2 linked regions of the Nothobranchius furzeri genome follow. The protein of the gene in region 2 purifies or fractionates together with the protein of the main gene of each other region. This does not show direct contact. Links are inferred from orthologs where the notes say so. Each region holds a gene or a part of one and is shown on either strand. Other genes may lie near its edges.

What was found. The genes of interacting proteins can lie anywhere in the genome.
Region 1: the proteins of ubap2l (region 2) and g3bp1 purify together in Homo sapiens (affinity purification with western blotting; 6 studies listed by BioGRID and IntAct, with this or other methods). This does not show direct contact. The link is inferred for Nothobranchius furzeri from reciprocal best matches to the Homo sapiens genes UBAP2L and G3BP1.

Annotation. Positions count from the first base shown.
Region 1 is NC_091741.1:69,282,559-69,287,686, forward strand, and holds the start of g3bp1 (ras GTPase-activating protein-binding protein 1), read right to left. Parts: upstream 3,256-5,128; 5' UTR 3,121-3,255; intron 1,704-3,120; 5' UTR 1,682-1,703; coding exon 1,587-1,681; intron 1,482-1,586; coding exon 1,400-1,481; intron 552-1,399; coding exon 378-551; intron 308-377; coding exon 217-307; intron 1-216. UniProt on the Homo sapiens protein: Protein involved in various processes, such as stress granule formation and innate immunity. Plays an essential role in stress granule formation.
Region 2 is NC_091759.1:4,197,584-4,202,948, reverse strand, and holds the start of ubap2l (ubiquitin-associated protein 2-like), read right to left. Parts: upstream 3,486-5,365; 5' UTR 3,386-3,485; intron 3,224-3,385; exon of another isoform or gene 3,203-3,223; intron 2,172-3,202; 5' UTR 2,130-2,171; coding exon 2,034-2,129; intron 1,832-2,033; coding exon 1,754-1,831; intron 1,242-1,753; coding exon 1,131-1,241; intron 755-1,130; coding exon 580-754; intron 435-579; coding exon 333-434; intron 218-332; coding exon 172-217; intron 1-171. Other genes in the region: protein C1orf43 homolog, read left to right, coding at 4,355-4,417, 4,491-4,592, 4,648-4,756, 4,844-4,897, 5,083-5,249, 5,330-5,365. UniProt on the Homo sapiens protein: Recruits the ubiquitination machinery to RNA polymerase II for polyubiquitination, removal and degradation, when the transcription-coupled nucleotide excision repair (TC-NER) machinery fails to resolve DNA damage.

The sequences.
Region 1 (5,128 bases), on a different chromosome or scaffold from region 2:
AAGGACTTTCTAACCCTAGAGCTTCACCGTCAGAAGCTAATGCAGCAGATTGGTGTAGGAGACTATTTTCATGTTCAGCCTGCTTGAAAAACCCAAAGTGACCGATTATGAACAGAAATATTAAAAAAATGTTTTTTAAACCTCTTTTAAACTTGCTACATTACACCAATTTCAGAGAGAAAAATGTTTAGGTCATAAAACAAAACAGTTTCTCACCTTCTGGAGGCTCAGAGTCAGAGTCACCAAACACCTCGTCTTGGTAACGAAACACGTCGTTGTGGACGTAGAATTTATTTGCCACCGTACCCTGGAAAAACATGCATGTGAATAAACTGATCAGATCAATGAAAAAAATATATTAATAATCTAATACCAACCTCTGGTGCCAGAACGAAGGTCTGCATGAACTTCCTCATGGGCTGCATGTTATTAGACAGCTCGCCCATCACCTGCACCACCACGCCTTCGTTCAGAGTAGCGTGAGCGTCCACATGTCTGATCTTAGTGTGGCAGTCTCGGAAACTCAAAGCCATCACTCTTTTATGGATCTCCTGATAAAAAAAAAATTCAAAAGATTTAACGAACTGAAGATTTAATTTGGGCATTTAACAGCAATCAATCATTTCTCAATTATCCAACTACATGACAAGAGCGATAATGGTTATTTTAACAAGCATTAGAATAAAACAATTTACGTGAGGATTAATAAATCAGAAAGTACTGATAAACATTCATCAGAATGTTAAACTACCTAGAAAACTTAGTTTCTGGAAGAAAAAAACAAGTGTGTAACAATGACTCTTGAAAAGAAAATATATTCATGAATATTTCACATTCTAGATTCATGAGACTATGAGACACACCTAACAGGCCTTTTCCAACAGCACTACTCAGGCTAAAACAGCTCAGTGCAGCGTGGGTTAACTCGGCTCACCACAGAGTACTTGGCTTTCCTTGCCTGCTCAGAGACAAAAAGTGGGTGCACCCCTCATAGCGGATGGGGGGGACCACAGCATTTGCTTGTGCAGGGATCTTTACGCGACAAAAATAGCACAAGGTCATCAGTACACACTGTGAGGTGACCTGCATGCTCCACAGAAACAACTCTGCACAAAAATAAAGGTGATGTTGAACACTCTTCAGTTTTATGGTTTCAGACAGCAGACAGAAGGCTCTGGAGCAACCAGTGACTCCGCCCCCTAGCCAATCAGTGGCCGACAGTCGAAATACCGGTTCAGCTCTTGGAACCAAAACAGAGGGACTGAAAAGTAGAGGGAAAGCAGGGGAAAAATACCAAAACGCGCCGTTGGACAAAAGCAATCAGACCAAACCGAACCCTCCCGAGTTGCACCAAGTATTGCCGCTGGAAAATGCCTCTAACTGGGTGAAGCCCACTTACAGATTGTCCATAAACCGCCTCTACTGGTTTGCCGTTGCTGTCCAGGCCACCATGCACATAGGAGGAGTTCTTTCCGTAAAACCTGAACAAAAAGACAAACTAGTTGTTTGTACAAATATTTAACAATTTATCATAAAACCATTTAAACTTCAAAATCAAACCCTCCACAAGCAGCTGACTTCCGTACCTGTGCAGGTAGTCGGGGGCCTGGTTCAGGAGTGTGTAATACTGTCGGACAAACTCTCGCCCGACCAGCTGGGCACTTGGCTTCTCCATCACCATTTCTTTGGTCAACTGGAAATCTCTGCAAATAAGAAAAGTGTCACTGACAAAGAAAATGACGGACTGTGATTCCAAGTAGGGACAAAGAAACTGGTGATTTGATCCAAGAATCAGAATAAAATAACTTCATTAATCCGACAGTGGAGAAATTCATAAGGCAGCTACTTCCACAGACTACAGAGAGTGAAATCATTAGTCTTGATATATTTACATCAATTTGTAAAAATGAAATAAAAACTTGTAGCTCAGGTTCCTGATCAAAGACAATATTTTTAACTGTAAAATGTTTTAATGTAAACATTGATAACTAATAGTCATCAAAAACTATTGTCTTCATTTAGTTTTTAACAATCCTGCAACAATAATTTTGGCACCTAGCGTTATGCAGCACATTATGGCAACATTTGATGAATGAGTTGGTGAGAGAACCTGTTTCTGCTCAGGCAGGAGGCAAATAAAGAACAGGTAATCAAACCTGAGAATTTACGTTAGTCACATAGAAGCTACGGTCTAATCCTTCTTCTATCAGATCATTCAGAACCAGAAATGAGCATCCTCATAAAGACAACCAGCGAAATCCCATCCATCATGAAATGAAACCGAGTTAAAGAAACAAGCAAAGCAATCCATCGAGATCAGAATGTGCCACCGGGCCACGATGCGCGCAGAGGATAAGCTTGGACTTGTGTTTATTATCTTAAGTCACGGTCTTGAGTAAAGGTGCTCGAACTGTAAGCAGACAAAGGCCACGCCGTGCCAGCCGTGATGGAGTCATGGAGGCCCCCGCTCGCCTCAGGGACTAAAGGCCAGTCCGGCGGCCGTTACCAGATATAACCTGAGCACACATGGCACGACGCCCGGCCACACCACGGAGCTGAACAACGACAGCTGGAGCAGCTCACGGCCTCAAAGCTGAACAGAGACCCGTCTGCTGCTAGGTTACGGAAGGAGCCCCAGCACGTGTCCCGCACGGTCCCTGGTCTAACCTTTCGCTTTTAGCGACCACACACCCAAGGTGGTAGTTTATACACAAATAAAACCAACGAAACACTACCAAATTCGGTTCGATCATACAATTCCAAATGTGGAAAGTAATATTGTAAAGAAAGAAAACGGGAGTCACGACTGAAAGGGCGGTGGCTATTTCCTGAAATAGCAAAAGCGAAACTTGGGGATTAATAATTATTTTCAAATAAGTTACAATTTCAAACTTTCAGTAACAGCCTTGTGTTTTAAATAATTTAATAATTAAGCGAACTGCACAGTTATAACACCTATGTAATAGCTTAGCTACAATGGCCAAAACCAGCTAACATCATCGCAAGGCCAGAAAATAGACGGAGACCGGGACGCCAACCCAGTTAATCAAATAAGCGCGGCGAAATGAAAATTTGCTTTTTCGAAAATAGGATAGCATAAATAGGAACGAAACAACTCACCAACTGATCAAACTATTAAAATGAAAACGTTGCTTTGAAATAATGTGACTTTTTTTAACCAGCGTAGCAGCTGCCTGTTAACTAGCGGCTTCACAACGTGCTGGAGTACCCGGATACCGGTGGTTTCACCCTCGCAATCGCAACTGAACATGATGTCCCGCCTCTCAGAGCTTCTCTGGCCAATAAGATTAAGGTTTTAGTCAGCAACCAATTAAATAAAGCGCCAAGGAGTATCCCGGATGAAAATGGAAGTTTGAGTAACGGTTTAAGGTGCGATGGTTTTAAGAACTGGCGTCTCCCGTAGTCAATATGCACTGTTACATTTTCTCCACTTGGAGGCGACAAAAGTGTTTGGCCAACATTTGAGCTAATGTAATTTGTGGAAGATTGATGCAAGCGCGTTTTATCTGAGATTAGACTGATTTATGCTGATTCTGTCTCGAAACAAAACAATTCAGACGTTATGTCAACTAAAATGAAAAGCAAAAGAGTTACAAATGTATAAATATTTGGACAACTTTTTAAACACCTAACATGGAACATTTGAGACAACATTGATTGAACAATATTTATGTTGGTACTGAAATCTTCAGATTCCCCCTTCTCTGTGTCATAATATTCATTGTGAATGTCATAACGTGATTTTTTTAAGTTTGTTTCTTTCATTAAAAAATTGTTGTTTTTTTTATTATTTCTTGAGTTTGTTTCTGTTCTTAGCTCTGTTAACTTTGGAGGGGTCAATAGACTGCCTGGGAAATTTGTCCTTTTAGAAACTTTTATAACTTGTAATAATTATTTAGGAAAAAAGAAATTCAAAATGAAATAATTGAATATTGTGGAGCTGGAAAAGAAATCCTCCAGAGTCATTCCTCACATATGATATCTTAAGTATTAGATTCATGTGTAGTACAAATGTTTTGCTAATGTGCTTTTTTTATGGAAACTGGAAAGAAATCTATCTAATCAGCTATTATCTATTAATCACTAATTAATCCAGCTGTAATTATTGACAATCCTAAAAAAGTTAGCCAGAACACAGATGATGGTTCTTTAAAAAAAATTCAAACATCAAATCTAAAAGGTGCCACTTCAAATGTTTAACTCACCTGTATTTTTTATTTTTTATTTCGTAGTTTTTGTTAAATTCTTAAAATTCTCCTTAAAACCACACCTATGACTTTATGACCTGAATGAGATTTTAATGTGTTAAATCACCAAACCTTCTCTTCAACAGCATGATGAACTCATTATTTTTTCCCTGCTGTGGCAGAGAGGAGGGACTTCAGGCTTCATGGGCCCTGGGGTTGTTTCACATTCCTGACGCTGGAGTCTGGATGAGCGGGTGGAGATGGTAACAGGGTGCTCCGGATCTCCCTCTGCTGTCTCCCAGGGGACCACGAGCAGCCTTAGCCAGGGAAAATGAAACCTCTCAGTGCAACAACGTTGAACAGACAGACTGAAGACATGAACAACCTTAAATGGCAGTCAGATCTGAACAGCGTGTTCTCATGTTGAATTGGCTCATTCAAGCCGATTTTCATAGACACACCTTCAATTCATGCAGCCAGGATTTTCTGATGTTACAAATAAGTGTTCAGTGCAAACTTTTAATTACTCACATCACATTACAATGTCAAAAAGAGTTTAGCTTGACACACAGTGTTTAATCCCTGTCTTTGCTTTCTTATCACAATTTTTAAGACTTTTTCGTTTGCGTTCTGATCAGAGATGGTGCAAAATGATCAACCAAATTCGAGGCTTCACTAATTATTTTAATGTGAAAAGCAGTTGTGATGAGGAAGAGTTCTGAAGCAGCTGCATGGAGAGAAACCTTTAGAAATCCTAAATGGAAGACCAAAGAACAATTCAAAGTAACCAAAGCAGAAAGTGTAACCTAAGTTCTGCAGAAACCTGGACTATCTGGACCAGAGCAGAACACCGGCTTAAGTAAACAACATGACTAACAAAACAAGCAGAGTATTTATATGGAGGTCATAAATTCCACATC
Region 2 (5,365 bases):
TTGGACGCTGCTCAGCCCACGCTGTTCCATCTCACTGGATAAAGTATGTCCTCCCTCCTTTTGGATTAAAGCTAAACAATGGATTTGGGTCCTGCTCTCTGGTGACCATGGCAACAGGTAAAAGTGGAACAAAAGGACCTATGGATTTAGGCGACACAGGTGTTCCCTTACCCCATGCCCTGCGCTGAAAACCTGCCTCCTCTCCGTCCGGAAACTCCTGTGGATAAAATTAGAGCTCCGGTCACTTTTAGTCCAACTTATTGTTGATTCTTGCAAAAAATGTAAAAAAGCATCACCTCACAGACAAACTGGGAGTAAAAACGAACCCTTACCGACAGCTCCCCGTCCTCTGCCTCGGCCCCTTCGACCCCGCTCCGCCCCTCTTCCAGCTATCCCGGCTTTGCCTCCATCCAAGCCGTTCTCCTGACCACGAACTTCGGGTAGAAAGAGCAAAAACAAAAAACCTTCACATTAAAATTCTGCAAACCTCAGAAAAATAAACTCCTTAGAAAAGAATCAAAGATTTAATAGGAAAACTGACTAAACTACATTTGGCACAAACAGACAGTAACGGCTCACACTCTCGTCCCCTGCTTGCTCCGCGACCCCTGCGCGAAGCTCCACCTCGGCGACGTGCTGCATCTTTCTCTCCTCCTTTCTCTCTGTTCTCCTTGCCTTCTTCTCCGGTTTCTGCCTGGCTGGTCTCCTTTTGACCCGACACCCCTTTCTTCTTACCCACCATTTCCCAGGAGTCCTTTAAGAAGAGAAACACAGCGTCAAACTAGCATTTCCACCTGTGGCATCATGGGATACCGTTGTGAACGGACGTTTACACAGGAAAGCGGAGTATAAAACATGCTCGATTTGTTGCAGATGGCACATAAAACTTTGTAAGAGCCGACTGTGGCTGTAAAAAAACCTCCAACAAAAAAATAATTTCATTTGTTACAATTTATTTCTGAGAAAATAACGTAGGTTTTTTTTATATTTACACAATACTTTTCTTGTATTAATACCATGTTGTAGTCACTAAAGAGACAGGACTAGATTAGCTTGACTTAAAGGAGTTTTTCACGCCTCACTAGCACAGATTTCTCCACAATCTACCCCGAGACAAAGCATTTACTCACAGTGTCTGGGCTACCCTCCAGCAACACATTAATGGCTCTGTTGACGTCCCCGTTGCAATCATGCAGCGCGATCATAGACTCATCCTGGTCCTTTCCAGTGATGTCAATCAGCTGCAAGAGGAGGGGCGAACTATGAGACGCTAAGGTGACCCCAGGAGTGCTTTTCTGCTTTTGAATTTATACTAAAACATGCTCAGAACTATGGAAACGAGCAAAACAATGCATCAAATAAAAAAAGTCAATAGATGAGTCAAACACTGAAATAGGGTACCGAAAGTTAAAAATTTTCACATTATGCCAATAATAAGCTAAAATTCCCCCAAAAAATGAACCCTCCAATCAGAAACTGTCTCTACAATCAAACTTTCTGTATAATTTACTAAAACAAAAGTATTGCTTCTCAATGAAAAGGTCAGCTAGCAGCCATGGAGGATTAAAGCTGCCAGCCTGACTTCTTTGAGCATGTTGTGACACAACTTCCTGCTGAATAAATAAATCTCTCCCTGTAGCGGAATAGTTAGTCAAGCGTATAACTCAAGTCATAAAAGCCACTCAAGTGTTTGGTTTATTATCCAAAGGTATGAGAATAAAAATAAGTCCTAATGAGGTCCGTGTCTGCTCACCTGTTTAACCTTTTCTTCAAAATCTGCATCGTTGTGGTCTGAAATCATCTGCGCGAGTCTTATCTGCTCTGCGGTGGCCTGCGAGAAGAGGGAAACATCCAGTATTTGCATCTACTGCAAGTTTATTAATATCTGCCTTATTTATTTCTAGATAAACTTGTTTTATTAGTCAAGCGATGAGTCCCAAATGTTGGGATGCGTTTGCATAACAAAGCGAGGGCTTATCAGAAAAGGCCGGATTAATCTATTGGTGTAAATCGTGAACGCGTGGAGCAGGTACCTGAGGCCTCTGCTTGTGCTGTGTCTGGCTCTGTGTCTGGCCTTGTGTCTGCTCCCAGCTGCCCCGGACTCGGTTCCCGCCCATGGACGTCATCATTTACAGTATATACAAATAACAGTATTTACAAAGAAATAACACCTGCAGGAGAGAAGAACGAGATGAGAGGGATAGTTATGACCTACTTGAACATTTGTATGACTGTTATATTTAATTAGTACTTCCTCAGTAGGATGTTTATTGCTTTATGTTGAAGATGGAAGCAGTGGTTCACAGGAAAATGTCATTTTGGTTCCTTTGTATGACCTGGATTAGTCAGATGATGCAGCTCCATTAAAAGCTTACGAGACTATAAGTTATTTACCTCTCAGAACATGACGTAACATTTCTGCATCTAAAAAAACCTAGGTGATGTTCAGCAAGCCCACCCATCAAATAAATATGATCACAGAGCCTTTCAAACACAAACAAGGCTGTGTTTATATCAGATCTGACGGGCTGGACACAAGCACAAGATCAGTCACGTACAACTTGGTTAATAACAAACTGTTATTCCTGCTAATGTTAAGTGAGAACTTAATCTTGTACAGGTTACGTAAAACCTCAGCCTTGACTAGCTTAAAAACAAACGCAGGCCCTGTCGAACATTTCCCGGTTCTGCTAGCCAGCCGCATGGTCAATAAGCAGGCCACTGGCTAATCCTTAAAGGAAAACATCCAGCTCTGAAGCCTCTTGGTGGGCTTCCGCTTCTCTGGGCTTCACCTCATGGCGACAACGAGGCTAACTTTAACAGCTAGCCAGCTAACTCGGTGCGGAAACCTGGCTGCGTACGCAGCTGTTAGCTGACTTAGCTTAGTAGACAACATGTTAATTAGCTCACCAAACAGTGACATGCTGGGGAGTTTTAACACTCGAAGGGGTAAAACTACAGAACGCCCATAACGGTCGGCAAACACAAGCTGGATGCTAACAACTAGTAGCGAAATAACGTCGTTCCGAACAACTGAGCAACTTTAGCTACGTTAGCAAATTAGCAGCTCGTACATTGCAACACTCTAAGCCAGGGTGGGCCCGGTATCATCTGTTTCTGGGAGTGTCGACCTGGATAACACCGAGGCTGGGGGCAGGCCTGCAGGCCGCTAGAATGAAAATAAATAGCAGGCGATACTGACCAGAAAACCCGGCTCAATATCGCAGAGCCACACAACTGGCCGACAAGAGCCGTTGGCGACTTTCTATTTTGGATTTAAGACAATATATAAACCCGAAACTTAATGTGGTTGCAACTATTTCAGGAAAATTATGATTAAAAAAGAGCCGACTCGCTCACACAATAAACGAGACGCTGAATTTACCTGTTTCCTTTCCACTCTGACACCACGGAGAACTGCGTCACGTGGTTTTGGAGAGCGCTTCGAGGAAACCGGACCCGCACCACGTGACCCGCTCTGATATAGTTTGATATGATCAACAGAGCTGAGGCATGTCTCAACAACATGAAGGAAAAACCGAAATACATCCCATATTTTCTGCCCTCAGGAAAAAAAGCACAAAATTAAAACTTTCACAGCTCCGCAAGTATCCAGAACTAAAACCATTGAGTTTTGACAATGCTAGACCATGATCATGATGTTTATGAGGACTTAATAAATAATATAAACAAATTGTTTTGTTTAAAGTTTGAACAAAATATTTTGTTTATATTATGTATTAACTTTAATACAAATTTAAACTATAAAATCATTTGTAAACACATTAGATAACGACTTAGATGGTAGTAATAAAAAAAGCTTGCTTCGTCACATTTCTTAAATGAGTTTGTTTCCGGCTCAAGATTAAGCTGCGTTTCAAACAACTGCACAAGTTAAACAGGTTAAATGAAAAACAGTATATTGAAAACAAAACTGATGTTACATGAGAACAGCAAGAGAAACAGAACTCAAGACTGGTTTAACAGCATTACTTGTAAATATACCCCGTTCTCGTGTTTATTTTACAATGATACAAAATATTACACATTAATTTGAATTCACATTTAGCGAAAATAATTCACTTGCAATAAAAATATAGTTTTACACCAGAAATCGTGTTTGTTGATTTTTGTATTGTAATTCACACTCCAACCACATGAGGACGGTCGTGCACCATAACGCTATTTTTACACAGCTGATTGTCAGTTTTAAGCTAGCATTAGCTAACTGCAAATATTTTCATGTGTCGATCAAGAAGAGGAGTTGCGAAGGAGAGGGAATTATTACAAATAGTGAAAGTCTTGTTTGCTAAGATAATGTAGGCGTGTTGGATTTATAAAGTGAATAAAAAGCATGGCAGACTCGTCGCCTTTGTCCGGTGTTAATGTCGTTTTGGTCATGGCATATGGGAGCTTGGTAAGTAAACAAATGCGATATCCACGCAGCGACGTGGTTTTACTTCATTTTAACTCCTCTTGTGCGTCTGCAGGTGTTTGTTCTGCTGTTTATCTTCGTTAAAAGACAAATCATGCGTTTTGCCATGAGGTCCCGCCGTGGACCCCATGCTCCCATCGGCCACAACGCACCAAAGGTAAAGGTCAATTTTAGAACAGCTCGATTGCATGTTTACATGAATGTATTTGCAGGGTTTGAGGGAAGAGATCGACGCCACGCTGTCGAAGGTCCACGAGATCCGGTTCGAACCGCGTCTGTTATCAGAAGAGGACGACAGACTCAAGCGAGGATCACAGATCAGTCAGTCATGTTTTGTTTCCTGCAAAAAAAAAAAAAAAAAAAAAAAAAGTTTAATTCTTGTAACATTTTCCCTATTGTTTATCACAGGTTGTTACAATTACCTGTACAGAATGAAAGCTCTGGATGCCATTCGTGACTCAGGTGAGATGAAATTATAACGCTTGTCTAATAATGTATGAGAAACCCAACACACACTTTTATTCATATATGCGCATAAAAAATGCAATCACAAGTTTATTTTTTTTTCAATCTAATTAGCTGTGTGTGTATTTCACATCGATCCTGCGTCCCATTTTAATTCCGGTTCCTTCCTGTTTGGATTATAGGAATTCCTCTACAGGAGATAAGCGTCAGTCCCACTGCGTTTACTGGACGCAGCTTCAGGATTTGGCTGGTGGAGCTGCGCAACTCCCACTCTCTGATCAAGAGCAGCCGGAGTGCTCTCATCGACCGCTTACTTGAAGGTTATGACAGCGCCCGCCATGGGACCGGGGTGGGTGCAGGTGCTCTTGTGAAACAGAAGGTGGAAACTGTGGGATTGCAAACTGATTGGACTTTAAATGTGTGTTTCAGGTGTTCGGAGAGGCGGAGTTCCTTGAATATCAACAA